2 linked regions of the Cricetulus griseus genome follow. The protein of the gene in region 2 purifies or fractionates together with the protein of the main gene of each other region. This does not show direct contact. Links are inferred from orthologs where the notes say so. Each region holds a gene or a part of one and is shown on either strand. Other genes may lie near its edges.

What was found.
Region 1: the proteins of Dcaf4 (region 2) and Cops5 purify together in Homo sapiens (affinity purification with mass spectrometry; 4 studies listed by BioGRID and IntAct, counting the BioPlex papers as one, with this or other methods). This does not show direct contact. The link is inferred for Cricetulus griseus from reciprocal best matches to the Homo sapiens genes DCAF4 and COPS5.

The regions. Positions count from the first base shown.
Region 1 is NC_048595.1:150,156,325-150,160,146, reverse strand, and holds part of Cops5 (COP9 signalosome complex subunit 5), read right to left. Parts: intron 1,315-3,822; coding exon 1,166-1,314; intron 1-1,165. UniProt on the Homo sapiens protein: Probable protease subunit of the COP9 signalosome complex (CSN), a complex involved in various cellular and developmental processes.
Region 2 is NC_048598.1:120,188,317-120,191,836, forward strand, and holds the end of Dcaf4 (DDB1- and CUL4-associated factor 4), read right to left. Parts: intron 3,476-3,520; coding exon 3,361-3,475; intron 2,123-3,360; coding exon 1,890-2,122; 3' UTR 800-1,889; downstream 1-799. UniProt on the Homo sapiens protein: May function as a substrate receptor for CUL4-DDB1 E3 ubiquitin-protein ligase complex.

The sequences.
Region 1 (3,822 bases), on a different chromosome or scaffold from region 2:
CAAAATCCAAACAAAGGACAAACAAAGGAAGAGTTCTGTAAGGAAACTTTTACTTCAAAATGAATTGGCTGGGGATATGACAAGGGTAGAGCAGCAGCAAGGCCACAGTGCCATGCCCAGCACTGAAAACAAATGCAGACACATTCATGAGTTCACACACTGAGACAGCCAAAGCCAATGTGTGGCCACTGCACCTTCTGAAAGAAGGCATGTTTCTTGTTTTGGTTTTTGGTGCCAGGGATGGACCAGAGCCCTATGCCCGACAGGGAAGTGCTGAAGTGCTGAGCCACTGAGCCACTTTCTCCACCAGGATGAGCTGAATGAGGTACTTCTAACTCCAGTGGCAGGATAAACTTCACCTTCCCCTCCCTTCTCCCTACAGAACAGTGCTTTTGTTTGTTTGCTTTATGCTCAAAGACAACTTCATTAGTGTTAAAGAGAAAAACACAGTACAGGTGGAAATCCTGGCAGACACCAGGAGATGGAGGAAGGCTCTGCTTTTCAAGTTTGGCAAGGAGTAGAAACAGCTTATGAAAAAGGAAAAAAAAAAACATCCCAAGAGTGGAAATATGCTATGAACTGAGGGAAGACAGCCCCCGCCCTCCACCAAACAAACCAGCTTATAACTGCCCAAATATTCTCTCTTCTGCCAGTATCAGATTAAAACTTGAGGTTTTGTGGCAGTAAATGTTAGTGTTTTCAACCCGTACATTCTGTCATCAATGGTCACATTCTCATCTAAGTTATCAGAGACCACATCCCAAGGAAATAATTAGCAAGTAAAACATGAGATACTAAAGTGCAGAAAGAACGACTTAAGAGAGAATCTTTTCCACAATATTCTGGAATCTGAAATTTGGCAAATTTAAGAAATGTTAATTCTTCAGAAAATGTTTAGTCGAGGAAAAGGGTAAGCATGCTTTTGGAAGCCCTTCCCCTGAAAAAAGATCTAGTCAGGGGCCAGCTTTCCTTGTACACCATGTGGCTATGGTATTCCTAGATCTTTGAGTTGAGCTTTCTATTTTGCCTTATGTCCCCTAAAATTTGAAAGTGTGATAATACTCAGGCATTTCCCAAGTTGTAGCTGACTGAACCACAGGATCAGGATTTACTTCCTGTAAATTTTGAGAGAAGAGTAGGGCAGGACCTGCACATGAACACTTACCTGTCTCTAGTAGCTTTGGCAAGTTTGTCTTCTGATTTCCGATCGTGTGTTTCTAAACCCAACATGAAACTCCCTCGTCCCAGCTGGGCTTCTGACTGCTCTAACTTTTCAGACAAATCAAACACCTGGCCAGTGGTATAGTCTGCATTCTGTGGAGAAAATGGTGTCATGTCATTTCACAGCATAGGCTCATCATGAAAATATTCTGTTTTTTTTCCAGGGCTAAGCCTGCCTTCAGGGACATGTAGATATAAGCAAGCACTCCACTACAGCATTATACTCTCAAGCCTTTGTATTTGTTTTGAGACAGGGTCTTGTTAGTTGCCCAAGTTGGCCTTACTCTATTGAGGAGCTGGAACTATAGGTATACCACCCATTCTGTCCAGCCCCACACCCCCACTGCCCAAGATTCTACCCACTCCCCCACACACTTGCTTTTATTTTTGAGACAGAGTCTCTCACTACAAAGCGCTGGCTGTCCTGGAACTTACTATGTAAACCAGACTAGCCTTGAACTCACAGAGATCTGCCTGCCTCTGATTCCTAGTGTTGGGAATAAAGGTGTGTACCACCATACCTGGCTAAAAACCCAATTTTTTTTTTCTTTTTGAGACAGGGTTTCTCTGTAGCCCTGGCTGTTCTGGAACTTGCTGTGTAGACCAAGCTGGCCTCTAATTTAGGGATTCCCTCTGCCTCTATCTCCCGGTGCTGGGATCAAAGGCATGCGCCACCATGCCTGACAAAATCCACTAATTTTTATGTAAATTAATTTAACATTCTATATCTAAATAATGTAAAGATGGATAGACAGTGAAGAAGTTAGGTCATAGCTATAAAAACTGCTCCTAAAATCTACCAATTTGATTTTAAAATTTTAGAACCTAATTTCAAGATTAAATGTGTTATTTTTTCCTTTGCTTAAATCAAGTTTTGTCATTATGAAGGCTATGAGGAATGCCTGGACCACGCCTCCTGGAACTCTTAAAAATGGAAGTAGGTGGCAATGATTTCCACCTTAAAACTCTAGGACTGTCCAGGGCACCTAAGAAAGGCTTAATAATTATTAGCTAGTTTTGTGACTGTTCTTATCAGAGTATTGCAATATGTCCTCATTCATACCTACATTTGAGGATCTATTACACATACCATTTCCAAATATGTATGTATTTTACAAATCACCAAATTACACCTCCAGGCTTAATTGTAATATTCTCATTTTATTTGTTTTGAGACAGGGTGTCAAATGACTCAGGCTTGATTACAGGCATATACCACTATGTTAGCAAGGGCTAACTGTAATATTTTTAAAAAGCTGCTATGAGATGTCTTTTTAGTTTTAATCTAAAACTGGCAACTATAAATGTAATCAAGGCAGTCTTGACTATAGTATGAGTTCCAGGCTAGTCAAGGCTATATATAAGGCAAGGCCCTGTATCAGGCTGGTGAGTCAGCTTAGTAGTAAAGGCACTTAATAATTTACACTCATCCCAACTATTCATGTCCTCATATTGCAATGCTGGAATACAGGGAAAGTCAGTCACAGGACTAAGCAGGTATATTCAACTGCCTTTATTGCTATTGTCTTAGAGTTTTCTCTCCCTGCCACCAGGTGTCACTTCTGACTATAAATATATTTGTCTCTAAGGGAACAACATACATAAGACACTTAGCAGTGCTTGGCACACGGGATACATAATATTTTCTAGTATGATTGCTTTCCTCCTTTATTTTTGTTTAAAACAAGATGGCCCCATGTGGCCCAGGCTGGCCTTTAGCTTTCAGCGTGGTGAGGAAGACCTGGAACTCCTGATCCTCTTGACTCAACCTCTCAAATCACAAAGACTGGCATTATAGACACACGCCACTGTGCCCAGCCTGCTCTCTTTTTAATTCTGCTACTTCTAGTAATACAGATCTTGTCAAAATTATATTTAAAATAAATAGGGCCAAGGGAGTCTTTCCAAGAATATAATGCACCAAACAAAACACTAGTAATTATTCATCCAGACTTCATTGTAAGCCAGGCACTTGCTAACTTTGTTATGACTTATGTAAAGTACCTTAGTGTACTTAGTAATACTTACAGTGTCACTGCCAACATTTTACACCAAGGCTCAGACACTAAAACTGGATGTGAAGCACATGCCTATAATCCCAGCACTCAGAGAGGGTGGGGACAGAAAGAAGTTCAAGGTCATCCTTGGCTACACAGCAACTGCAAGGCCAGCCAGGACCACAGGAAACAAAAGCTGCCCTAAGTTTTAAATATGTACCTATTAAATATATATCCATGTAATAAGCACATTAGATTTTAAATGATGTATCAGGACACACTGAGTTAATGCCTTTCTTTGCCTGGTATTTATCATCAAATTGATTTCCACGACCTCCTTCTCCAGCTTAATCCCCATGCTCCTCAAAGAGTTGTTTTCACACCAGCCCAGCAGTTAGCCCTTGCCTTGGCCCAGTCACTCATCAAATTTGTTGCTCTGCCCCATGACATGTCTTATGGATGAATATGTGATCTAAGCAAAGCTGAGCAAACACAGGAAACATGCCTGAGAATATGCAGGGACATGTATGCTGGTGTTTATCTTCTGAACATTAAGCACAAAGGCTGTGAGGTCAGAAGCTAAAGCTGCCTGCCATCTGCTTTC
Region 2 (3,520 bases):
GAGTGATCTTAGCCACTGCCATACTTTAAATTGCTACTTTATGCTGACGCCCCTTGTCCTCACAATCTACAATTATAAGAGCCTATGTTTCTCAGATTGCTGTTGTCTGTCATCCTTGTGTCTTTGCTTAGGTTATGGCCTCTGAAGAGGACAATTGAAAATTGCCAGCTTTTTGCCTGAAGCCAGTACCTTCTGCTTGTTCAGCACATTCTGTACCACTGAGCCTGGTTTCCTCATCTGTAAGATGACACTGATATAAATATGTTACTTTGTATTCCCTGTCCTTTATGAATTGTTACAAGGATCATATAAAATTTTAGATAGTAAGAATAGTGATATTCTACATGTAAGTTGCTTATATTAGGGGTCTTGGGGAAAAAAGATGAATACTTAATGGGTAGTTGTTTAGTTGGGGAACATTGTGCCTAATAAGCATTATATGTATGAGACAAATAGCATAGTCATAGGACATAGAGAGCTGTGTTCCAATAAGGGCCATAGCCTCTGGTCACAGATACTCAAAGTCCCAACAGGAAGGGAGCCAGAGGATCATCAGTCCCAGCCCAGTGCTCCATTGGCCTCTGCTTTCCCACTGATTGCTGGGGACAGGGAGGCTGGAGAGTCTAGAGAGCAGCCTCCTGGAACATGAGCAGAGCAGGGCAGTGGTGTGGAGGGGCAACACCAGGGTCCCCAACAAGCCATTGAAACTGGTCTTAGGGTCTCTTTACCCTACTGGCAAGCTTAGTTTGATGGTTCACCAGCTTTAAGGGATCAAGATTGAATTAGATGGAGACACACATGCTTCTTTTGACTTTATTGGTAGGTAGAAAGGATTTTAGACACTATAAATATTTCATAAACTGCAGCTCCAAGATTACAAAAAGATCAAAGCCAAATTTGGCCTTGGGCTTTAGAACTGACACTCAAGTCACTGTAACAAGCCAGTGTCCCTAACATCCTGGATAACTCAGGAAAGGCATGTTCATGGATGTTGCAAGCCGTAGCATTTGCAAGGGTCCGTCTCCCTTCCAATGCCTGCACAGTAACAAAAGAGCCCAGGACTTTTGCCACTGAGATGGCAACGTGTAATGGCTTCAAAGCCGGCCCCTCTGCACCTCAGGTGCCTTCTCTAGAGCAGATACAGGTCTTCCTGGACTGCAGCACTCAACACTCAGGTAGTTTCCACCACTGGGCAGTTCCTGGTGAAAGCAGCAGCTTTAACTAATTTTGTTTTGCTGGTCTTCATTCCAGAGTCTGCTTTGCCAATGAAGGGGGTGGGGGTGTGGGTGGGGGATGTGGGGTTGCTGCTTATGGAACTCAATAGGAAAATCCAGTAAATCCCTCTTGTGACAAGGCCTTTCATGTTCCCAGCCCACAGTTTATCTGCTGCTTTACTGAAGTTCATCCACATAAACTAAGAAAAAATTCTATTTTTGTTTTATGTGTATGGGTGTCTTGCCTGCATGTTAGGTCTGTACCACATGCATGCTTGGTGCTAAGGCCAGAAGAGGGTGTTGGCGTCTCTGGACTGGAGTCAAAGATGGTTGTGAGTTGCTATGTGGTTGCTGAGAGTCAAACCCAGGTTCTCTGTATAGCAGCCAATGATCTTAACAACCGAGTCATCTCTCCAGCCCCCCATGTCAACCACTTTGCACTGCCCTCAAGCGGGAAGGACACCATAAGCTCCACTTAAAAGTACTCATTAGAGTCAGGCCGTGGTGGCGCACGCCTTTAATCCCAGCACTAAGGGGGAGAGGCAGGCAGATCTCTGAGTTCGAGGCCAGCCTGGTCTACAGAGAAACCCTGTCTCGAAAAACAAAACAAAACAAAAAAAACAAACAACAAAACCAAACAAAATGTCCTTGTTAGAGACTGAAGGAAGCTGCCATTCATTCCCACCTGTCCTCCTCCAGATTGCCTGGACAGAATGAGCTGTAGGAGAAACAGTAAAGGTCCTGCTGGACAGCCATGAGCAGCCCTGGGGCTCCCTGGGGGCCCCCAAGGCGAGGAGAGAAGGCCACACTGGGAATGTTAGCCTTGGAGGTGGGGTATGGAGAAGGTATGGTTCTGAGCAGGTGTGCGTCATGGAGGCTCCAGATTCTGGTGTAGCAGTCTTGGCCCACTAAGAAAGAGGAAAGACAACACAGCGGGTTAGTAAGAGAATGCAAGAAAGTTACGGCATGTAGGGCTCCTTAAGACCTCGAAGGGCCAAGTGATTGTACTAAGCCCAAACACAAATCCATGGGTGGAAGGTATTTCTTAAAATTAAGACCACAAGTTGGTCTTCTGCTCCTGAATCCTAGCTAGCTGCAGGTGTTCAAAGTGACGAAGATGTACTGGCTGGCTGACACAGCAGGGGCTCAGCCGGCTCCCTGGCTCATGGGTAGGGAGTCTTCTCAAGTGGGAGTCAGCCCACCTGATCTAGATGCCAGGCAGCTGAGTTCCTTTCGATGAACTAGCCAGGAAGATCTCTCAACTTTGTTACATCCTGGCAGAGCAGATAACAGCTATTTCTGGTTGAAGAATTCAAGCTAAAAGTCTGCGGGACTCCTAGTTCTGAGCAATGTGGCATGGGACACCATGGATTGTGGCAGCCCAGATGCTGTATGCTCTTAGAGGTCTGTGGGGGCTTTGGCAATCAGACTCTGATTGAGTGACTGTAGGTACTTAGTGTGCCTTGGCAGAGGATGCACTTGGGGTGTGTGGTTCACTAGTGCAGCTGTGCAGACACCGTGTGGGGCTCTCAGCGGGCTCATCTTTAGTCTACCATCCAGCACATGAAAACTCTTCTGAGATGAAGACTCGAGGCGCACCATTTTCAGAGCAAGCCCAGTGCTAGCACAGTAATAGCCCCCAAGAATTTAACAGGGAATGAGTACTGTCTGTGGCGCCATTAACACATGCCAGTAAAAACTGAGACCATGTCAAGGGCCTCCTGTTCCATATGTAGAAACACTGAATTTGTTTTGTGGCCTGGAAATAGTATGATCTGCAGTTACTTCAACTCCCTCAGGGCTTAGTGGCCAGATAGCTGCTGCTCACGGGGAATGTGAAGGGGCCAGGATCCAAGCACTTTAGGTACCCTTAATTTCTCGGCATCCTCTGAGGGGAATGTGAATAGAATGGACAGCTTTTAGACAAGACGGTGCCTGATGGGATCCCATTACTCAAAGAGGCCTGACCTCCAAGCCAACTCAGTCCCCAGCTGCTGTGTCCGTCCATCACCTGCCTGTTTCTAAGGTGATGCTGTCAGTGGCCCATAATTCCCATTACTTATACCACTTTCCCCCTCTGCTGTTTAAGATGTGAGCACCCTCACAGACAGCATTTGATGGATGGGATCGCCCCTTCCCCACACACCTGCCACTAGGATTCCTTCCTCCTCATGCACATGCAGGGGCAGGTAGGCATACTCATTCACGTGTCCTTCATACTGCCTCACACATTTGGTGGCCCTCAGGTCCCACAGCTTGATCTGGGAGAAGAAGCACACAAAGGGTTACTCGGGAAGGGTGTACCA